Linked DNA regions of Sus scrofa. The protein of the gene in region 1 interacts with the protein of each later gene in a pairwise test. Links are inferred from orthologs where the notes say so. Each region holds a gene or a part of one and is shown on either strand. Other genes may lie near its edges. The genes, in order: PLAA and UBXN1.

Region 1 (11,725 bases):
CTTCCTTTCTTTCTTTCTTTCGTTCTTTCGTTTTTTTGTTCGTTTGTTTATTTGTTCGTTCTATTTTTCATATGTGTATGTGTCTTCTTAGGGCCACACCTGTGGCATATGGAAATTCCCAGGCTAGGTTTTTTTTTGTTTTTTTTTTCCCAAATTTTATTTTGTAAATGGTATAGTGGTACTATCTTTCAGTTGATGTTATATATATAACACTTTCCAGTTACATTATAAATTGCCGTTCTAGGTAATGGAGGAGGAAAGTGCCATCCCCCACTTTGGGGCAAGTGCCAGTGCCCAAAAAGAGAGAGCCATCACAGTCTTCTGTGGTCACCAACTATTCATCTTGCTCTCTCTTCCACAAGCAAAATATACCCACTTTTTTTCTCATTTCCAGACAAGCCAAAAGTCCTACCAAATTATAGCATCAAGTTCAAAATTAAGAGTCTCTGGGTGAGAAATTCAGTTGTGGCTCACTGGAAACAAACCCAGCTAGTATCCATGAGGATGCAGGTTTGATCCCTGACCTCGCTCAGTAGGTTAAGGATCTGGCGTTGCCATGAGCTGAGGTGTAAATGGCACATGCAGCCTGTGGTATAGGCCAGCAGGCAGCTGCAGCTCTGATTTGACCCCTAGCCTGGGAACTTCCATATACTGCACCTGGGGCCCTTTAAAAAAAAAAAAAAAAAAAAAAAACAACAACAACAAAAAACTGGAGTTCCCGTTGTGGCGCAGTGGTTAACAAATCCACCTAGGAACCATGAGATTGCGGTTCGGTCCCTGCCCTTGCTCATTGGGTTAACGATCCGGTGTTGCTGTGAACTGTGGTGTAGGTTGCAGACTCGGCTTGGATCCCTCGTTGCTGTGGCTGTGGTATAGGCCGGCGGCTACAGCTCCGATTAGACCCCTAGCCTGGGAACCTCCATATGCCTTGGGAGCGGCCCAAGAAATGTCAAAAAGACAAAAAAAAAAAAAAAAAGAATCTTTGCATGATACATAGTACTCTAAACATCAGGGAAGTGATGCTCAGGTGTTTCTACATCAGATCCGGATATAGTTCCTCTTAAATTCAGAGATCTGTGGGCTAAAAACACAAGTTATCACTCACCCGTTAGCCCCAGTATGCAACTGTGGAACATTGAGGGTAATCAGAGCAAACACTCCCTTTCAGAAAAGGGAACAATGCAACTCAGCAGAGTAGTCTTCTGTAGTCGTCTGAAATCTAATGGGTGGCTATTTGATAGATCCCACCCTCCCTCATAGAGTGGTGGATTTTTGTGGTCAGTTTCCTCTAGTCTCCAAAAGGAGTTCTCAGTCCATTGTTCTTCAGTACTCTTATTTAACCCTCTGGGATATTCTTTTTTTCTCTTATTCTCCTTGATCACACTGAAGCATATGCCCTCCTTGGGGACTAAGCAACTTTCTCAACTTGTTTTCTGCCTATGTGAGCTGGGTGCACAAGGGTCATTTTAAGTCTTAAACATTCACAGACTTTTTTAGGTTTTGGCAGTATAACTCTTAAAAACTTCCTGTGCTTCTTACTATTTGATTTCCAGTCAGATCTCTTTGTCAGTAGTCATGCCCTCAGTTTAGTCTAGATTTGCTGTATTTCTCCCCCTCTCTCCTCCCTTCTTTCCCTACATGCCTCTCTAGATTTAACTACTGAAACTTTGTGCCTGTCAGACTTTAGTTGGAAAGTTGAACCCTTAGGTTCTTTTCCCTGAGCCAGTTTTCCAATTGAAAGCATTTATTTTCATGGCAACAACCTTATTTTTCTTGGGTTTTGAAAATACTTTTAGGAGTTCCTGTCGTGGCTCAGTGGTTAATGAACCCAACTAGTGTCCAAAAGGACGTGGGTTCGATCACTGGCCTCGCTCAGTGGGTTAAGGATCCATTGTTACCTTGAGCAGTGGTATAGAGCGCAGATCCAGCTTTGCTGTGGCGTAGGCCGGCAGCTGCAGCCCTGATTCAACCCCTAGCCTGGGTGCAGCCCTAAAAAGACAAAAAGAAAAATAATAATAATAATAATAATTTTAAAATCCATTTGAAAGTTTTGGCACTACGCACGATGGATAGTCATGTTTTTGACATGTTCCTGTTATATGGCTGGGTTTCAATTGTTTTTTAGTGCTGAAAGGACTTCTGGAGTTTATATTTTTCATTACATCTTGAGAAGTAGTTGACTCTTAAGCCCTGCAGTTGACTCTTAAGCCCTGCAGATCCCTAAGTTTGGATCTTCTTTTCTGAACCTGCCAGTTCTTGATCTCATCCCGTTCTTTTAATGCCCAGCCAGATGTGGCCAATAGTAGGTGACGCCTATTACTGAAGTCCCATTTTCCAGCCTCTTTAGGCTATGGGTTTATCATGTCCTGAGTTATGGCTGATAACAACTTTACCAAATGTTCCTTACCAAGGATCCCTGGTCTTCTGTTCTATGATGCCATTCTCTTCCTTGCCTGCTTTTTAAGCCATTATCATGCATTTTAGATTTTTGCTTCAACAGTGCCTTGCTTTTGCTACTAATTTCTGAATCAGTCAGGTAGTTTAGGTGACATTTTGGCAACAGAAAATTCCAGAATCACAGTGGCTTAAAGCAGTAAGTTTACTTTGCATCTTACAGGCCCAGTGCAGCAAGGGGCTCTATTCCTTGTAATCAGTCTGGGATTTGAATGACAGAAGCTTGGTTGCAGCATGTGCTTTCACAGATACTGGAGCAGTGGGGAGGGAGCATGACTTAATTGTATACCTGTCCTTAAAGCTTCCACCTGGAAGTAACATTATTTATGCTCATTTTTCAGTGCCAGGAGAAGTCATGTAGCATGCCTAAAGCCAAAGGAACTTGGGAAGTTCACTCTTACCATTTGGTTAGAAGATGAAGAGCAGAAAATATTTGATGAATATCACTAAAGGCTGCCATATACATTAAAATATTTATATCTCCCATGTGTTTTCTGGAAACTTCTCTCTTGTAACCTTCTAGCCTCCTGTTGGATGGGTACTCCCTGGGCTAATGTCAATCCTGGTTTCCCTATTTTCTAGATACCATATTTTTTTCATTCTTAACTCTTTCATATTAGTTTAATACAACAGTTGCAGCTTCTGAGAAAGCTGTGACGTAGGGGTTAAGTATATTTTATATTTACATATTAGAAAATGGCCTTATTCTAGGCTTTTATTTGACTTAATTTAGTTAGCTGTAGAATACTGTATAAAAACCATTTAACCTCAGAATTTTGAAGACATTGCTCTGTTGTCTTTTAGGGTAAGGTGTTATTTACAAGTTTGATGCTGTTTTGATTTTCCATCTTTCCCGTGGGGCACTTTTCTGGTCCCCTCCCAAACTTTTGGAATCTTCTGTTTCTAATGTTATAAAATTTCATGATGCATCTCTGTCTCTGTTTCTCAAAGTACCTTTCACTGGGCACTTTTGTGGGTTCATTTGGTCTAGATAATCATTACCTTCCCTTTTGGGAATCTTTCTCATACTGTTTCTGTGTTCTCTACCCCATCTTTCCCCTCCTCCTCCCTATTTTTCTCTTTCTGGCATCCCCGTAGTTAGATGTTGAACATTCTGAAATTGTTTTCTAACTTTCTTAACTATCCTTTCCTCTTTTTAAGTTTGATTCTTCTGTTTTTAGCATTTGTTATTCTTGTTGTCTCATGAGTCCTTTTTTATATAGTATCTGTTTGGAAATAACATTGAATTTTTTTTTTTTCCTGCTTCCTGAAATCAGATTTATTTCTTATGGATCCCTCTAAACCCTCCCCCCTTATTTTTCTGTTTCTTTGTTTTGGTTTTTCTCTTTCATGTAGGTAGAGGTTGATGATTGGTAGGCTTCATTAGAGGATGATCTGATAGTCTGACTTGTATACGGAAAAACCTCTCGAATGTCTGCATCTGGAGTTCTTTAGCATTATTCAATACTCTAGAAAAGAATTCTCTCACCTTTTACTTAGATGGATGGAGTATATGTCTAGCTGCTGGTATTTTGGTAGCAGAGGGCTGTAGGTACTGCATTACAGGATGGAGACTTATGCCCCTTGTGTTTCTTGGGGATTCTTATTCCAGTCCTTTATTATGTCTGGTAGCCTTAGTCTAGAAACTCTGCTTCAGTTCCTTTGGGGAATAAACTTCCAGTTTTCTTTTTGCAGGGAGTGAGGATATACTCTCCTGACGCTCTAGGCTAAGAAAAGAGATCTAGTGTTTCACCGTGTTATGGTGTCATGTGCGAACTTTGAATCACTATTCTCATTTTTTACATCCTCTGCTTATCCCCATTCTCCGTGGAATCTAGTGGCTGAATATCAGGTCTCATAGTTTTGTGGGACCAGTTATTCTCTTCTAATCTTTTTCTGTGGTTGTTTAAATTGAAACCTCTTCCATTTTGCTAAGTCAGTGATGTTGTTTTCTGTTTTCTTTGTCCTTATAGATTTATACCACTTATAGCATTACTGTGGACAATCTGCCATTTTTAATCAGAACTCTCTCTTTTTTTCCATATTTTTAGATAATTTTTCATACTAAAATTTTTTTTTTTTTTTTTTTTTTTTTTTGTCTTTTTGCCATTTCTTGGGCCGCTCCTGCGGCATGTGGAGGTTCCCAGGCTAGGAGTCCAATCGGAGCTGTAGCCACTGGCCTACACCAGAGCCACAGCAATGCGGGACCCAAGCCACGTTTGCGACCTACACCACAGCTCACAGCAACACCTGATCTTTATTTAACCCACTGAGCAAGGCCAAGGATCGAACCCGCAACCTCATGGTTCCTAGTCGGATTCGTTAACCACTGCACCACGACGGGAACTCCCTAAAAATTTTTAGCTGTAAGTTTTATATCAAGATAATAAAACTTTTAGTTAACCATTCCATTGCTGTTGAACATTTAGCTTGGCTGTGTTTTTTTTGTCATTTTAACTAAAGTGATCCTAAATAGCTACATAGCGCTTTAAAATCATTTGCATTATCTTTCTGTGTAGTTTCTTAGAACTGGACGGGATTGTGCAGCCCATTTAATCCTGCTCCTTCATTTTACAGATGAGAAATCTGATGTTAAGGAATAAATATCCCTGTGGTCAGACAGCTCATAAGTGGACATAGCTAGGCGGTCTGGCACCAGAGTCTGTGCCCTTGATTATTGAACTCTTCTGCATTTCCATTGAGTTAAGTTTTTCTTGGCTAATATAGTCACTTCAAAAATCATTTTTAAAATTGTGGCGTTTCAGTAACTACCAAGGTTGAATATTTTTCTATATGAAAATGTGTTAATGCCTTTTTTCTCTTTAGTTTGTAGTCTTTCATCTGGAAAATTTGGGACATTACTTAGTGGCTCATGGGACACTACTGCTAAAGTCTGGCTGAATGACAAATGTATGATGACCTTACAGGTACCGTAGTTCTGTGTGAATATTCTAGAAAATAATTAAATACAGTGATTCTCTGGCATCTTAATGTAATAGCCATTTTCCTCACAGGGTCATACAGCTGCAGTATGGGCAGTAAAAATCTTACCTGAACAGGGCTTAATGTTAACTGGATCAGCAGACAAGACTATTAAACTATGGAAAGCCGGAAGATGTGAGAGGACCTTTTCTGGTAAGATCAGAGTAGACAGCTTTTATAATTTCTCCATTTCACATTTGCTCAGATGATTTTTTTTCCCAAAAGTTTAGCAGTTTTAAGGTGTTGTATGAAAAAATCAGTGTATTTGAGCCATTTTTAAAAAGTTTTATTGAAATCTATTTGATTTACAAGGTGGTGATAATTTCTGCTGTACAACAAAGGATTCAGTCATACGTATACACATATACATTCTTTCAGATTCTTTTCCCACATAGATTATCACAGACTATTGGATAGAGTTCTCTGTGCTATATATAATGCATATCCCTGTTGGCCAGTCATTCCACATACCTCAGTCCCAAACCCCCAGTCTGTCCCTCTCTACCTCCCACCTGTCCTCTTCGGTAACCATAAGTTTTTCAAACTCTGTCAGTCTGTTTCTATTCTTCAAATAAGTTCATTTGTATCGACTTTTTTTTAAGATTCTGTGTATAATATTTGAGCCATTTAATTTGGGTGGATGTATATTTTCTGACAGTATTTAATATCTTTTTAAAAGAGGTAATGAGACCCATCATAAAACAACCAAATATGGACTAATCATTACCTATTTGATAAACTATAGTATGTGTATGTGCTTCTATGTATTTTATGTATGTAATTTTTGTACTCAGTTATATTTTGGTTGTCATTTGAACAAGTTCAGCCTAAAACTTGCAGTCATAAGTCTTAAGAGTGGGTCAGAAGTGTTATCTTCATATATGGAGGAAAACATCCATGCTTTTATTAATACTGAAATACATTGTTTAATAATAACACATTTTAGGCTTTAGGTTGTGGTTTCTGATGGGTAGTCTCTTAATGACTCAGATATTAAATAACTTCTACACTGAGGTATCTGTTGTCTAATATTGGTATTGGTAATTTGTATAGCACTTCCACTTTTGGTGTGATTTTTTTTTTGTTGTTTATTTTTTCTCACTTTTGCTTACTCCTTAAAAGCTGATCAACACCCTGGACAATACTGCAAAAAGTCCCTTTGTGCAGATAAAACTATCTGTAGATGGGAGTTACTGTTGTAGCTCAGGGGGTTAAGAACCCAACTAGTATCCATGACGATGCAGGTTTGATCCCTGGCCTTGCTCAGTGGGTTAAGGATCTGACATTTTCATGAGCTGCGACATAGGTTGCAGAAGCAGCTCGGATCCATTGTTGCTGTGGTAGGGGCCTCTGCAGCTCCCATTCAGCCCCTGGCCTGGGAACTTGCATATGCTGCAGGTGTGGCTCTAAAAAAGAGAGCCACCTGTAGATGGAAAATGTGCAATGAGTTATAAGTAAATATCTCTCTTATGTCTGCTTTCAACCATAAAATATGTGTGTCAAGTTGTTTAGTTTGTTGTTTTTTTTGTTTTGTTTTGTTTTTTGTCTTTTTAGGGCTGCACCTGCGACATACAGAGGTTCCCAGGCTAGATGTCTAATCAGAGCTACAGCTGCCGGCCTACACCACAGCCATAGCAACGCAGGATCTAAGCCTCATCTGTGACCTACACCACAGCTCATGGCAACACCGGATCCTTAACCCACTGAACAAGGCCAGGGATCAAAGCCACATCCTCATGGATACCAGTTGGGTTCATTAACCACTGAGCCACGATGGGAACTCCTGTGTCAAGCTTTTATTAATCTGTTATAGTTAATCTCAATCAGGAAGTACTGAGCATGGGAAGGTTTTAACTTATGATCTCCTTTATTAGATCATAAGCTTCTGAGAATGTTTTATCATTTAAAAAAAACTATCGCCATACAGTGCCTCAATTAATATTGGAAAAAATTGAATTTTCTGGAGTTTTAAAAAAATTTATTGATGAGGAATATATGTATATATATATATTTATATATATTAAACAACTAACATAATGCAAAAAGTTTTTAATTTTAAAAATTCTTGCCTTTTAAAAGAAGCAATAGTCATTAGTTTTAATTTTACCATTTTTTCATTTATTATTTTAATGCCTGTATTTATATGAATTTTGAAATATTCACCTTCACAAAGCAGCAATGTTTGGCTTTATGTTTACATTTTGGTTAAAGCAAAAGGATAGGAGAAGTTATTTGACTCTGAAGAGGTAAAGAAGAGGCAGGCAACTTGAATTCTTGTTTTAGCTCTATTTTTGTGGTTTTACATAAATTTATGTCTTTTAGCCTATTCTTTCATATCTTAATAAAGTTTACTTCTCTATGATGAAGATTTTCAGACTCCTATACAATTGAAATATTTTTTCTAATCTTAATTTTTCTTTTGTTATTGCTTTATGAATATTAATCTCAGTATTGTACGGTAAGACTGATGATGAAAATGTTGCCAAAGCTGTCTCTTTAGCACCAGGATAGGTTTGATCCCCAGCCCGGCACAGTAGGTTAAAGGATCTGATCTTGCCGTAGCTGTGGCATAAGTCACAAACATGGCTCCAATCTGATCCCTGGCCTGGGAATTCCATGTGCCGCAGGGTGGCCAAAAATTAAAAAAAAAAAAAATTGCCAAAGCTAAAATACAAATTTTGGCTACTAAGCTTTTCTATGGGAAAAAATAATGAATATCTCTAACTTGAAAATCACTTTTTAATATCACTGGTTTGTTTTATAATGTTAGCAAGATACATAGAGCCAACAACCAAATGATCCATTTTTACTGATTTATGTTATTCTTTTTCTTTTTTTAATATATATAGGGCATGAAGACTGTGTAAGAGGCTTGGCAATTTTGAGTGAAACAGAATTTCTCTCCTGTGCAAATGATGCTAGTATTAGAAAGTGGCAGATCACTGGCGAGTGTCTTGAAGTATTTTATGGTCATACAAATTATATTTATAGCATATCTGTCTTTCCAAATTGTAAAGGTGAGATTATCTGATACTGCATATTTAAAATTTTGTATTGAGCATTGTTTCAATGAAACTTTATTTCATATAAAGTATCTTTCTTTTTTACTAAAAGAGAAAACTATGATCATCTTATATTAATTCAGGTTTGGTGGTTTTGTAAAAGGTTCTTGGGTATCTGAGGAAAGAGTTTGTATAATTTATTGGTGTAAAGTATAGTGTGTAAATGTGAAATATATAAAAATGTGATTTTTGAAGTTGTATATGGCATAAGTGACAATGATGTAAAATTTTATATTGTAATCTTTTAATATTTTGGGGTTTAAAAAATCAGCATGCCTATTTAGTAAGATAGTGTATAAAAATGTGCTTAATTTCATTTATTCAAACTAATTTTTCCTGTATTCTTAAATTTTAGATTTTGTGACAACAGGAGAAGACAGATCACTGAGAATCTGGAAGCATGGGGAATGTGCTCAAACAATCCGACTTCCAGCTCAGTCTATATGGTGTTGCTGTGTGCTAAACAATGGTGACATTGTGGTTGGTGCGAGGTATTTATTTATATTCTAGTCAGTTAATCAATAATATATGTCTAGGCTGTTGGTAGGTGTTAAGAGTGCACAGAGATGATGGAGTTCCCTTCGTGGCACAGTGATTAACGAATCTAACTAGGAACCATGAGGTTGCGGGTTCAATCCCTGGCCTTGCTCGGTGGGCTAAGGATCCGGTGTTGCTGTGAGCTGTGGTGTAGGTTGTAGACGCGGCTCTGATCCTGCGTTGCTGTGGGTCTGGCGTAGGCCAGTGGCTACAGCTCCAGGGGCTACAACTCCGATTAGACCCCTAACCTGGGAACCTCCATATGCTGCAGGAGTGGCCCTAGAAAAGGCAAAAAGACAAAAAAAAAAAAAAAAAAAGAGTGCACAGAGATGAGAGTTTGGGAATTTCAGGTGAATTGAGAAGACCACAAGCACATTTCTATTACCAAACAAAATAATAGAAGGTATACAGCTTTCACACTAATGATATATAATATATTACAATAGTATTGAACTACAGGTTGTGCAGTTGAAACACTGAATGCAAAAGAAATTAGGGAAGATAGGGATTGGTGTGGGAAAACTTTCCAGAGAAGAAGAAATTTGAACTGGGTTTTGAAAGTTAACAACTCAATACAGCAATAAGCATTTTTGTCAAAAGGACAGGTACAGGCACAAGTAAAATGGTGGCACGGGACCAAGAGTGATGTGAATGGGAGACAAAGGAAAATGGTAGAGGACCAATGCTGAGGAACAATGGATACTAGTGGTAAGGTGGGGCTTAATTATGTGGAATCTGGAATGCCAGGCATTTTTTAGATTTAATGTTTGGGATTATAGGGTTGAAGCTCTTAAGCAGGAAATGATATGATTAAAGCAGAACTTGTGAATTATTAAGTATGTAGGTTAGATTTAACTAGTGGTGACAGTGGAAAGGAAAGCAAATTAGTAAGCTACTTTAGTAATAAGGTGTAAAGTTGGGAAATACTGGCCCTGAAGTACTAATGGATAGGAGACCAAAAAATGAGCTAATGCGGAGGGAAAGTGGTCAGAAAGGGGATGAAAGAAGGATAACTTCAAACTTTGGTAATTAGAAGTCCACATTAATAAAAATGGAGAAGTGGGAGAATTGGTTTGATGCAGAAGATAATGACTTCCTGGAGTCCCTGTGGTGTTAAGCTACACTGACTTCCTGGGCCAGTGGGTCATGGGCAGTTGGACCAGAGGCTAGTGTAACAACTGAGACTGAAGACTGGCACAAAACTCCCAGAGTCTAGCGACAAGACATTTTTCTCTGAGGAAAGAAACATGGGGGCAAGGAACAGAAAACTGAAGACTGAACTTGTGATACAATGTGCATAGAGAAAGAGAAACCAGTAGGCAAACAGAAAAAGTAATCCAGATGTTGAAATTCAGAGATGGCAAAAGATTTTGGAGGGAGATTGTGATTAGTGTCAGAAAATGCATGAGGGGTTAAGGAATTTTCATTAGGAAAGCTTTTGGATTTGCTTTGAAAGATGTTATTAGTGACTTTTTTGACATCTCATTTTCATAGAAAATGATAGAAAAAGGTAAATGAGAGGAGACAGATAAAGAAGAAACAGGTAAAGGAAAGGATTATAGACTACTTTGACATCGAGGCAAGAGGAAAAAGAGGGCAACAGACATAAGGGATACAGAGTCTAAAGAAGAGAATGTCTTTTACTTCTGGGCTGAGCTGGGGGTCAGTTAGTTGATTTAGTTATTTTCGCCCTAAGTTTGTTTAAAGAAGAATAAATGAATTGAAAGGGTAAAACAGCTATTAATGGAAAGTTAAGTAAGAAAGATTTCTGTAGAGTTGAGTAGAATTAGTACAGTTGAAAGGGACTAATTTGCCTCCCCTAACCTGAAATTTAGAAAAAAGAAATTATGGAAATCATAGAAGTCATTTTTCTGAGAAGAGAGGTTGGAAAGTGAAGCTTACTTTTTTTTTTTTTTTTCCTTGATTGGGGTTACATTGCTAGTTAATGGCATAGTAAAGATAGGCCTATTTTTCTAATGAATGGATTTTGAGCATCTACAATTTTCTAAGCCTATGTTGGGTATTTGAGCCCTTTATAATTTTTTTTTTTTTTTTTTTTTTTGCTTTTTATGGCCACACCTGCAGCATATGAAAGTTACCAGGCCTAGGGGTCGAATCAGAGCTTCAGCTCCTGGCCTGTGCCACAGCCACAGCCACACCAGATCCAAGCCATGTCTGTGACCTACACCACAGTTTATGGCAAAGCCGGATCCTTAACCCACTGAGCGAGGGCAGGGATCAGACCTACATCTTCATGGATGCTATTCGGGTTTGTTACTGCTAAGCCACAACAGAAACTCCCCTTTATAAATTAGATAGTTCACTACCCTTCTTTATACAATAATACTTAGGTAATAATGACTTTAAAAGTATATGCTAAACCTGTAGGTCTTAATTTGGAATTGAAAACTATGTTAAATATATGTGTGTGTTATATATATATGTATATGTATAGATATAGAATGTATATATTCTTTACCAGAGACCTTTTCCTTAGTCTTTTTCCACTATTTTAGAAAGTAACAGAGCATAGTATGTGCTGAAATCAGCATAGTTCTATACTCAGCAATAAATGCATAGTAACATTTCTCATATTCACAAATACAGATTATTTTTGCCCTGGATCATTCAAGTGTGATGATGTTAATACACTGTGGCAATAACTTAAAATCAGTTTGTGTTTCCTTACA
Region 2 (12,264 bases), on another chromosome or scaffold:
GGCTAGAGGCCAATCCCCCTTCTGCCTTTTGTTAAGATAGTGAGGATGTGCCCTGGGTTAGAATCCAGCTGTGTCTGAGGCGGGTGGAAATAAGTACTGATCTGGGCTGGGGAAGAGAAGGATTGCCAAAGCTTGTGTTTTTTCCGGTAAAAACATGATAATATGCTAATAACAAGGGCTTCCCCCTCCCATTTGTGTTTCTTGTATATCCACCGTAACGACATTAAAGGAAACCTAAAGGACTGCACGTCACATCCTTTCCAATTCCCTGCTGACACACCTATGTTCCAGGGTAGTATAAATCCTTCAGAGTTTATTTTTTTCTTTTTCTTTTTTTTTTTGCTATTTCTTGGGCCGCTCCAGTGGCATATGGAGGTTCCCAGGCTAGGGGTCGAGTCGGAGCTCTAGCCCCCAGCCTACGCCAGAGCCACAGAAACACCAGATCCGAGCTGCGTCTGCAACCTACACCACAGCTCACGGCCACGCCGGATCCTTAACCCACTGAGCAAGGCCAGGGACCGAACCCGCAACCTCATGGTTCCTAGTCGGATTCGTTAACCACTGCGCCATGACGGGAACTCCCTATTTTTTCTTTTTTTCCAGCATACGGAGCCCCAGATCAGGCATCAGATCCCAGCTGCCATTTCAACCTACAAGGCAGCTGTTGGGAACACCGGATCCTTAATCCCCTATGCCTGGCCGAGTGTTGAATCTGTGTCCTGGTGCTCCTGAGGCACCTACTATCCCTTTGAGCCACAGAAAAAACTCCTGAGTTTATTTTTAAATTAACCGGATGTAGAAAAGTCTTTAAGTTGCTCCTTATTGCTCACTTTTACTGCTCTTATAACTTTTTTTTTAATTATAAAAGTAACACTTATACAGGAGTTTTCATTATGGCTCAGTGGTTAACGAATCTGACTAGGAACCATGAGGTTGCCGGTTCGATCCCTGGCCTTGCTCAGTGGGTTAAGGATCCGGCGTGGCCGTGAGCTGTGGTATAGGTTGCAGACGCAGCTCGGATCTGGTGTTTCTGTGGCTCTGGCGTAGGCTGGGGGCTACAGCTCTGATTCGACCTCTAGCCTGGGAACCTCCCTATGCCGCGAGTGCGGCCCTAGACAAGATAAAAAAAAGACAAAAAAAAAAACACTTATACAAATTGAAATAATAGTAAAGAGGATAAAATGAAATTCCCTTCCTCTTCAAGAGGTAAGTACCTATATCAGAACAAATTTTTCTCTATGTAATGCCAGTATTTTCTGCTTTCATTCAATACATTATGGACAATGTTCCATGTTGGTAAACAACAACCTCCTTAATTATGTTAAAAGCTGCGTAATTTCCCCGAGGAGGATGCTTCTAAACTGGCAGTAGCCATTCCTCTTTGTTGGAACACTGTAGTTGTCTTCAGCGTTTGCTGTGGACATCCTTATTTGTGTTTGTTTGTTTGTTTGTTTGTTTGTTTTGTCTTTTTGCTATTTCTTTGGGCCGCTCCTGCGGCATATGGAGGTTCCCAGGCTAGGGGTCCAATCCGAACTGTAGCCACTGGCCTACGCCAGAGCTACAGCAACACAGGATCCGAGCCGCGTCTGCAACCTACACCACAGCTCACGGCCACGCCGGATCCTTAACCCACTGAGCAAGGCCAGGGACCGAACCCGCAACCTCATGGTTCCTAGTCGGATTCGTTAACCACTGCGCCATGACGGGAACTCCCTATTTTTTCTTTTTTTCCAGCATACGGAGCCCCAGATCAGGCATCAGATCCCAGCTGCCATTTCAACCTACAAGGCAGCTGTTGGGAACACCGGATCCTTAATCCCCTATGCCTGGCCGAGTGTTGAATCTGTGTCCTGGTGCTCCTGAGGCACCTACTATCCCTTTGAGCCACAGAAAAAACTCCTGAGTTTATTTTTAAATTAACCGGATGTAGAAAAGTCTTTAAGTTGCTCCTTATTGCTCACTTTTACTGCTCTTATAACTTTTTTTTTAATTATAAAAGTAACACTTATACAGGAGTTTTCATTATGGCTCAGTGGTTAACGAATCTGACTAGGAACCATGAGGTTGCCGGTTCGATCCCTGGCCTTGCTCAGTGGGTTAAGGATCCGGCGTGGCCGTGAGCTGTGGTATAGGTTGCAGACGCAGCTCGGATCTGGTGTTTCTGTGGCTCTGGCGTAGGCTGGGGGCTACAGCTCTGATTCGACCTCTAGCCTGGGAACCTCCCTATGCCGCGAGTGCGGCCCTAGACAAGACAAAAAAAAGACAAAAAAAAAAAACACTTATACAAATTGAAATAATAGTAAAGAGGATAAAATGAAATTCCCTTCCTCTTCAAGAGGTAAGTACCTATATCAGAACAAATTTTTCTCTATGTAATGCCAGTATTTTCTGCTTTCATTCAATACATTATGGACAATGTTCCATGTTGGTAAACAACAACCTCCTTAATTATGTTAAAAGCTGCGTAATTTCCCCGAGGAGGATGCTTCTAAACTGGCAGTAGCCATTCCTCTTTGTTGGAACACTGTAGTTGTCTTCAGCGTTTGCTGTGGACATCCTTATTTGTGTTTGTTTGTTTGTTTGTTTGTTTGTTTTGTCTTTTTGCTATTTCTTTGGGCCGCTCCTGCGGCATATGGAGGTTCCCAGGCTAGGGGTCCAATCCGAACTGTAGCCACTGGCCTACGCCAGAGCTACAGCAACACAGGATCCGAGCCGCGTCTGCAACCTACACCACAGCTCAAGGCAACGCTGGATCCTCAACCCACTGAGCAAGGGCAGGGACCGAACCCGCAACCTCATGGTTCCTAGTCGGATTCGTTAACCACTGCACCACGACGGGAACTCCCTTATTTGTGTATTTCTATAGGGTACCCATCTGAAATGAGGTGAGAGAGGCAGTACTATACTATTTAATCATTATTTTATTATTGGCCCTCTGGAATAAACTTAGAATACATTTGTTACCTAGAACACTCATCACATGGCAGTGAATACTTAGTGACTTTTAAATTTAATTCCTAGAGTTCTTTGGTGGCTCAGTGGGTTAAGGATCTGGCGTTGCCAGAGTTCCTGTCCTGGCTCAGTGGGTAATAAGTCTGACTAGCATCCATGAATACGCAGGTTGGATCCCTAGCCTTGCTCAGTGGGTTAGGGATCCTGCGTTGCTGTGGCTGTGGTGTAGGCCAGCAGCTATTTGAACCCCAGCCTGGGAATCTCCATGTGCCATGGGTTCAGCCCTAAAAAGTGTGCGTGTGGGCACGCGTGCGTGCACGCGCACGCACACACACACACACACACAGGATCTGGCATTGTCACTGCTGTGGCACAGGTCGGATTCCTGGCCCTGGAACTTCTGCATGATGTTAAGGGTGCAGCCCCCAAAAGAAAAAAAAAAATTTTTTTGGTGGGGGGGAGTTCCCGTCGTGGCTCAGCGGGAATCCGACTGGGAACCATGAGGTTTTGGGTTCGATCCCTGGCCTTGCTCAGTGGGTTAAGGACCCGGCGTTGCTGTGAGCTGTGGTGTAGGTTGCAGACTCGGCTCAGATCTGGCGTTGCTGTGGCTCTCGCAGCTCTGATTAGACCCCTAGCCTGGGAACCTCCATATGCCGCAGAAGCGGCCCTAGAAAAGGCAAAAAAGACAGAAAAAGGAAAAAAAAAATTGTTTTAATTGACCCTGTATTTCCTCAGCATTTATTCATTTACAAATAATGAGGGCCTACTATCTCATTATTTAAAGATATGTTTTACATGCGTTCTCACTTGATCTCTATCACAAATCATTCCAAAAGATGGTTTCACATTTTCACAGATGAGACGTTTAAGGTTCTAACGGATTTGAAACCATAAGTAAGGCGCTGAGTTGGGATTTCAGCCCAAACTGCCCAACTCCAAAGCTGATGCTCTTTGCTCCACCACAGTGAGGCAGCATAGCATAGCAGTCTCATGAATGCACACTCAGTAGGTCTGAATCCTCGTGCTACTCCTTACTAGCTCTGTGACCTTCAGTAAATGATCTTTCTGTGCCTATTTCCTGTGATCGATAATAGTTTCTATAGCACATGGACTGTTGTGATGACTAAATATACATCAACTATAACAATCTCTGGTGCATATATTATTGATACCAGTAACTTATTATTACTCTGCCTCCTAATAAATATTTAAAGTTACCTTTAACTTAAGGGACCTAACAGCATAGGGGGCGATGGAGGGCTAAGCAGTCAACAAGACTACATAGCAGGGGGCTAAATGTTAATGGAATAAATACTGGAGCTAGGAGGTGGAGAGGGGGTGGTCAAAGCAGGATTCCCTCAGAAAGCAAACCCAGAGTCCAGTCCAAAAGGTGACTGGGGGTTATTTCCTGCCACAGAAGAGGCAGGAAAACCCAGACAGAAGAACTGGTATGTGCAAAAGCCAGGAAGAACTAGAAGGCCTGTTTTGCAATCTGCACTAGGTAACCTCAAGTGATGGGGGATGAACTCAATACTAACTACCAACATTTACACAGTACAGTTTTGTCTGGTGCCTAAGGTTCGTGCTATGGTTATCCTCGCTTTACAAATGGGACATTAACAAACAAACAAACAAACAAACAAAAAATCGGGTAGGAGGTTGCCAGACTACTGGCATTTAAGTTTCCTCCTGGGAGACTGGGGTGTCACAGAGAAGTCTTTTTCTGAGCCGAACTCATGGCATGGCATATAGAGGTTCCCAGGATAGAGGTCAAATAGGAGCTGTAGCTGCCGGTCACAGCCACAGCCACAGCCACGCCAGATCCAAGTCACAACCTACACCACAGCTCACAGCAATGCCAGACCCTAAACCCACCAACGGAACGGCATCTTCATGGATACCAGTCAGGTTCGTTTCCCCGGCTCCACAACAGGAACTTCTCACGGAGAAGTGGGTTTTTTTTGTTTTGTTTTTTGTTTTTGTCTTTTTGCCATTTCTTGGGCCGCTCCTGGGCATATGGAGGTTCCCAGGCTAGGGGTCCAGTCAGAGCTGTAGCCACCACAACCTTGGGATCCGAGCTGCGGCTGCGACCCATACCACAGCTCAGAGCAATGCCGGATCCTTAACCCACTGAGCAAGGCCAGGGATCGAACCTGCAACCTCATGGTTCCTAGTCGGATTCCTTAACCACTGCGCCATGATGGGAACGCCTCATGGAGAAGTCTTAATCAGGGAGGTGATGACAGGATCTAATCAGATATTGTGTTTTGCAAAGATCGCTTTGGCAGTGGGGGCGGAGGATGGCTCAACTCCCCCCAGAGGATGAGCAGGTCAAAGAGCGCATGCATTTCTATGGACATTGCTCTATAACTTTCCAAACGGTTTCGCTAAGGGGTCGTATCGGGAACTGGCTTCATGGGCCCATGGGTTTCAGGGGGGCATCATCCTTCCTCTCCACCACCGCCAAGGCGCCTCGGCTGAGGATGTGGAGCGGTGGCGTCCCCTCCCGTCCGCGACTCCCACGCGCCGCCGGTCGGGGTCCGCTCTGGGCGGGGGCGGCCGGGCCGGGCCCGCGTGGTCTGGCTCTCTGCGGCACCCGTCCACGGCCGCCTCCACGTGACCCAAACAGATTCGGGCACTTCCGCTTCCCCCGGGCTTTCTTCTCGTCAGTGTCCGCGGCCGGGCCGCTGCCGGTGAGTAAGCGAGCCCCGGGCTGGGGCTTTGGAGGCGGGATTGCGCGCCGGCGGGGGGCGCACCACGCCGACCCCCTCCACCCTCCTCGTCCCTCCAGGTCCCCGCGGAAGCGGCGGTGGCGGCGTCATGGCGGAGCTGACGGCTCTGGAGAGTCTCATCGAGATGGGCTTCCCCAGGGGACGCGCGTAAGGGAGCCCCCTAACGCGGGACCGCGGGGGTCGCGGACCTGCCCAGGCCTTTGCCCCAGCCTGGCCTCAGGCTCTCCGCCCCAGCCTGATGAGCGCCATGGCTGGTGGGCGCTATTCACGGTGTTTCTGCCCCCAGGGAGAAGGCTCTGGCCCTCACAGGGAACCAGGGCATCGAGGCTGCGATGGACTGGTGAGAGCTGAGACCGGGTGCAAGGGGCCTGGGGGCGGCTGGGAGGGGCAGTCTCAACGTTATGACCTTCCTCCTGACTTTCCCCGCCAGGTTGATGGAGCACGAAGACGACCCCGATGTGGACGAGCCACTAGCGACCCCCCTTGGACATGTCCTGGGACGGGAACCCACCCCTTCGGAGCAAAGTAGCCCCGAAGGTCCTGACTGAGGGACACAGCGTGATTATTCAGGAGGGCCCGAGAAGGAGGCTGAACGAGTAATAACACTGATTGTTTCTTTGCAGGACCTGGGTCTGCTGCCGGAGAAGGCAAACCCCCGTTGAGTGAAGAGGAAAGACAGGAACAGACTAAGAGGTGTGAGAAACAAGCCCACATTCCTGAGGGTCACCTCCCACTTCTCCCCAGTACACAAGTCTGATCAAAGAACCTCGAACTTTCCGCCTTCCCTCTGTCTTTCTTGGCTTTTTCCTCTTTGAGTCTTCCATCTGTTTTGGGACCGTGTTCGCAGATTTTGTTTTCCTGAGACTGCCGTCATAAACTCCCAGTTTACATTCATTTCTCTTGAACTTGCTGCGCCACAGGATGTTGGAGCTGCTGGCCCAGAAGCAGCGGGAACGTGAAGAGAGAGAGGAGCGGGAGGCCCTGGAACGCGAACGGCAGCGCAGGAGACAAGGGCAGGAGTTGTCAGCTGCCCGACAGCGGCTCCAGGAGGATGAGATGCGCCGGGCTGCTGAGGAGCGGCGGAGGGAAAAGGCTGAAGAGTTAGCGGCCAGGTCTGGGTGCTGGGACTGTTGGCTGAGATGAGGAAGGAATCAGGATTTGTTCTGTCCGTGTCTGACCTGCTTTGTTCCTGTCTGCGTTCCAGACAAAGAGTCCGAGAAAAGATCGAAAGGGACAAAGCAGAGAGAGCCAAGAAGGTAGGTGATTGGGAAGAGCCTGAGGATGATGAAGTAGGTGGGTCAGGAAGCTTTTCTGGCTTCAGAGGAGGAAAGGGTGGCCTTGGTGCCTGATTGTTTTATCTCCTTTGTCCTCCAGTATGGGGGTAGTGTGGGTTCTCAGCCACCCCCACCTACGACAGAGCCAGGTCCTGTTCCCGCCTCTCCCAGCCAGGAGCCTCCCACGAAGCGGGAGTATGACCAGTGTCGCATCCAGGTACTGATTCTGATTCCTGTCATGCTCCTGGGACCCCTTCGTTGGTTTCTAAGGGACCCAACTCAGCCCGGAGCTTTTTTCAGTTATGTTCCCCTTTGCCAAACCTCTCCCTTTTTTGTAAATGACTTTTGCAATCCTATCTCCTCTGCTCTTAGGAACGGTATCAAATTTCACTCGCCCCAGTCTTATTTAAATCCATACCCGTCTCTTATTCAGCAGTTTACCTTTTTATTTGTTCATAATGTTTTCATTTGGTTTATTATACAGCTGTTTGCATGCTGTGGGATCTGTCCAGGTATATGGTATAATCTTGTCCTTGTTTTCCATAAACTGTGAATAAGTCGGGAGTCTCTCTCCAGCATTCAGTAAAGCCGAACCTCAGTGGTTGGTCATTTAGATGCTTTAAATAGTAATTTTGCTGGTTCAGTCTCAGAGAGGAAGAGAAGCCATCATTGCTCTTCTTCTCCTTACCTGGGCCCCCTACTCAGCTTTGACGCTCACAGTACCATCTCTCCTGCTCTCTAGGTCAGGCTGCCAGATGGGACTTCCCTGACCCAGACGTTCCGGGCACGGGAACAGCTGGCGGCCGTCAGGCTCTATGTGGAGCTCCACCGTGGGGAGGAGCTAGGAGGGGGCCAGGACCCTGTGCAGTTGCTCAGTGGCTTCCCCCGGCGGGCCTTCTCAGAAGCTGACATGGAGCGGCCTCTGCAGGAGCTGGGTATGACACGTGGCACCAGAAACCAGGATTTGGGGGATAGGAGGCATCCATGAGGAGGGAAGGGGAGGTGCAAAGAGAAGGGACCTTGTGGAGATGGTGCGAGGCCAGGAACTTGGGGGAGGCAAGAAGCAGGTATTGCTGTGGTTCACACCTGTTTTCTTCCATCTTCAGGACTTGTGCCTTCTGCTGTCCTCATTGTGGCCAAGAAATGTCCCAGCTGAGAGGCCTTTTCCCACCATCCCTCTCTGACTTTTCCATCTTTGATAAAGCACTGACATCTTCCTAATAAATAGACCCTCTGAGTTCTGTATGTGCCTGACTCCTTCCTGAATGGCTAGGAAGGAAGGAAGACATTTAGAATAGACCCTATTCCTCATTTTATGTTTCCAAGGGAAACTGGTTTCTAATCTCTAGGTCTGAGAGGTTGCGCAGAGGTTGAGGGGGAGGTGGAGTATGGGGAGTCCACTGGGGAGCACCTTTTGCTGCTGTGGGTAAGGCAGGGCCGAAGCCTGAAATCCTTACTAGCGACGCGCCTTCTATAATTAAGCCTAGTTTCTTCTTTAGTAAAGCAGAGATGATAGTATCTGTTAATTGGAGTTGTAGAGGGTTAAATAATACTGACACAAGGTGCTTTAGTACAGTGCTTGGCACCTAATAAGTCTCCAATAAGTATTAGCTACCGAAAGGGGTAATTTAAAAAAATAGGGCCTTGGAGTTCCCGTCCTGGCACAGTGGTTAATGAATCTGACTAGGAGCCATGAGGTTTCGGGTTCGATCCCTGGCCTTGCTCAGTGGGTTAAGGATCCGGCGTCGCTGTGAGCTGTGGTGTAGGTCACAGACGCGGCTCGGATCCCGTGTGGCTATGGCCCTGGTGTAGGCAGGCGGCTACAGCTCTGATTAGACCCCTAGCCTGGGAACCTCCATGTGCCACAGGAAGTGGCCCTAGAAAAAGCAAAAAGACAAAAAAAAAAAAAAAAAAAAAAAATAGGGCCTTTCACAAACAGGTGTATTAGTATGCTTTTCACAACTGCATCTCTGAGTTGCTGTTGTGGCTCAGCAGTTATGAACCCAACTGGTATCCGTAGGGCTGTGGGTTCAATCCCTGGCCTCACTCAGTGGGTTAAGGATCTGGCATTCCTATGAGTTGTGTCAGCCAACAACTGCAGCTACAATTTGACCCCAAGCCTGGGAATTTCCATATGGTGCAGCCCTAAAAAGCAGAACACAAACGAACAACAAACCAAAAAGGGAGTTCCTGTTGTGGTGCATTATCCCATTTTATTTTATTTTACTTTTTGGCCACGTTCAGGGTATGTGGAAGTTTCCAGGCCAGGGATCAAACCTGAACCACAGCAGTTACCCCTGGGCCACTGCAGTGACAATGCCAGATCCCCAACCCACGGTGCCACAAGAGAACTCCAATGGTCCCGTTTTACAGATTGGGACACCAACGTGTAGGCTTGCCCGAAGCGGCACAGGTAGCAAGTAGTAGAACCTAGACAGACACCCACCTGGGAGCCCGACTAGGCCTCGGGCTCTAAACTGCCAAGTTCCTTCAACACAGCCCCTCTTGCTGCTTCCCATCACCTGATCCTAGTGTTCCCTCACATGGCTGCTGACCTCTTTTCTCTCATCCCCTGGGCTGGGAAAGAGGCCACAAGTGAGGATCACACTTGACAAATACATCCACTTATGACTTCACCATCAGGTAACTTAAAACTGCACCAATGCCCACATCTGGCTTTACACCTCAGTGTCACCAAGCTTTATTTAGTGTTCTAGCTTTATTTAATAAAAGCGAGGGTGCTGCCCCCCCCCCCCAACATCACCCCACCACCACCACCAATCTTGTTTGGAACCACAGGACATAAGGTAGACAAAAGGGAAGTGAACTGGTTGGTCTGGCTATGGGGCTGTCACCCCACTGACAGCTTTTATCTCATCCCTTCAGTGGCATCGCCAATAGATCCTATGACCCAATTCAGAGTTTGACGACCACTGCAGTGAAAACCTGGAGGGAGGACAACCCCATTGCATTTAGGGAGAGGCTGCCCTCTGCCAGGCACTGCACTTCACATTCCTAAATTCACCTTCTTTACAACCACCTGCAAGATATGGCACCTTTTATGGCACAGGACTGAGGCTCAGGTTTTAGGACACGCAGGAGTTGAAACGAGATCGGATTCCAAGCACCCTCCTCTTACTAGTCCTACCACGGGGTGGGGGTGGGGGTGGGGCCTCCAAGGGTTAAAGACCACAGACGGCAGCATGGGACAAGTTAATTACTAAAAGCCCCTCCCCTCACCAACCTCATTCAAAGGAAAGTAGCCCAAGGTGTCCTCTACGGGCATTTACTGCACACGAGTTTCCAGGATACCTATGATTTCAAGAATGTCACTTGGTTATCCCCAAAGAACACTCCACACAGACCACATGACCTGAGTGGTTTTTTGAAAACGTGGTTGCTCTGCCTATTGGGCTTCAGCTTCACATGGGGGGCGGGGCAGGCGGAAGTTGCAGTCTTTCGGGCTCGCAGCACCGACCCCCAAAACACTCTAGACTTTTACCGGCGTCCAAACTGCAGAGTCACTCTCTGGATGAAGGAACATGATTTATTGGTTCCTTCAGTTAAGCCGCATCCGACGCCCCGGCCCGTAACGTAGACGTTAAAACACAGTCAGTACAGGGTTTGGGGGGCGGGGGGTAACGTGCTCACCCAGCAGCAGCTCCCCAGGACCCGGAGAGGCCTGCGCGTGGCATCTGGGTCTGGACTCCTTGCCGGCCCACAAAGGAGAAAGGCTGCCTTGGACTCCTGCGTGGGAGCGGAGGTCACGGCGCCCACGGGAGCAGGTCCGGGCTCAGGCTGACCTCCCGCCGCCGCCGCCGCTCATCCAGTTCTTCCTCCAAGCCACGTTCTCTTGTGTGGCCGCTGCCTCCTGCAGAGTGGCCAGCAGTAGCTGTTTGGTCCTGGCTGCCTCGTCCCTGCGCTGCGGGTCCTGCTCCGGTATCTCCTGCCGGGAGGAAGGGAGGGTTGCGGTCCGGGCCCCCAGCCCTGCGGTGCTCTCTGCCCGCCTACCCACCTGCTCCCACCTTTAGTATCGCCTGCTTCTGCTGCTCTCCCGGGGTCACGAGGACAAACAGCGCAGAGCCCACGCCAGCCCCCACGCCCCGCACTGCGCCCACGATCAGCGCTTTGCGCAAGGGCTCCATGACCGACAGCGCGATCCGCGAGGCGCCCTCCGGAGCCGCCCGGAGCCCAGCAAGGCGGCTGCGACGTCTCACCGTCCCCGGCGCAGGCTAGAGCGCCCCTCGGCAGGGGACCATAGAGACGAAGCTGGGCTAGAGAAGGCCCGGCCGCGGAAACATTTCAAATCCACAACGCCTGCGAGGGAAGACTGGATTGAGCTGAGGAGGCCGAGCCGGTCGGGAGGGGTTGACACCCAAGACCGAGCGTGGGGGCTTAGTGTCGTGAAATCCCGAGTGGGATTGCGAAGGGGAGGATGTGTGTCTTCGTGGTTACTGTGGGTTTTACAGTTGCCCAGCTCCGCAATGTCTTTGATAGAGGGCTGTGCTCTGCAGTTTCCTACAACAACTCATGCTTTTACAATACAGTACATAATGGACATCCAAATACTTATAAACGTCAATCCCTTCAACTCTTGAGCAAAAATTCAAAGCTTAGTGTACCATGTGGCGGAAAGCATATTTTTTTATTTATATATTTCGTTTTATTTTTCTTGTTCAACACAAACATTACTTTTCTCTTCCCTTAGCATGTTTTTTGTTTGTTTTGTTTTGTTTTGAATCATGAAAACTGGATTTTGCGTAACATCCCAAATGCGAGTTTGGAGAAGAAAACACTTCTTAGTTGTGGGCAAGTCATTGAAGTTCTTTGTGCCTTGGTTTCTACATCAGAAAATGAGGCTAATAACAATATAAACTTAGGATAATTAGGTTCATATGTAAAGCATTTAAAACAGTTTCTGGAGTTCCCGTTGTGGCGCAGTGGTTAAGGAATCCGACTAGGAACCATGAGGTTGCAGGTTCGATCCCTGGCCTTGCTCAGTGGGTTGCTGTGAGCTGTGGTGTAGGTTGCAGACGCGGCTCGGATGTAGGCTGGTGGCTACAGCTCTGATTGGACCCCTAGCCTGGGACCCTCCATATGCCGCGAGAGCAGCCCACGAAATGGCAAAAAGACAAAAATAAAATAGCTTCTGGCAAATAGCAAACACCATATAAACATTTATTAAATAAGATACAAAGAAACATGTCAATTTGGGAGATCCAGTAAATGGAAGAATCAGGAAATTCCAAGTCTATTAACCACGCTCTTCACTTCCAGGGCTTTAATCCAGATGCCGTCCCCGCCTT

Evidence for each region.
Region 2: the proteins of PLAA (region 1) and UBXN1 interact in binary tests that used the Homo sapiens proteins (3 or more experiments, as listed by UniProt). The two-hybrid records come from large-scale screens. The link is inferred for Sus scrofa from reciprocal best matches to the Homo sapiens genes PLAA and UBXN1.

Annotation. Positions count from the first base shown.
Region 1 is NC_010443.5:196,188,274-196,199,998, forward strand, and holds part of PLAA (phospholipase A-2-activating protein), read left to right. Parts: intron 1-5,280; coding exon 5,281-5,381; intron 5,382-5,468; coding exon 5,469-5,589; intron 5,590-8,285; coding exon 8,286-8,453; intron 8,454-8,853; coding exon 8,854-8,989; intron 8,990-11,725. UniProt on the Homo sapiens protein: Plays a role in protein ubiquitination, sorting and degradation through its association with VCP. Involved in ubiquitin-mediated membrane proteins trafficking to late endosomes in an ESCRT-dependent manner, and hence plays a role in synaptic vesicle recycling.
Region 2 is NC_010444.4:9,067,393-9,079,656, forward strand, and holds UBXN1 (UBX domain-containing protein 1), read left to right. Parts: upstream 1-5,533; 5' UTR 5,534-5,645; intron 5,646-5,743; 5' UTR 5,744-5,772; coding exon 5,773-5,831; intron 5,832-5,970; coding exon 5,971-6,024; intron 6,025-6,114; coding exon 6,115-6,221; intron 6,222-6,307; coding exon 6,308-6,377; intron 6,378-6,604; coding exon 6,605-6,796; intron 6,797-6,888; coding exon 6,889-6,940; intron 6,941-7,058; coding exon 7,059-7,175; exon of another isoform or gene 7,176-7,700; coding exon 7,701-7,893; intron 7,894-8,064; coding exon 8,065-8,114; 3' UTR 8,115-8,203; downstream 8,204-12,264. Other genes in the region: ubiquinol-cytochrome-c reductase complex assembly factor 3, read right to left, coding at 10,752-10,904, 10,984-11,103.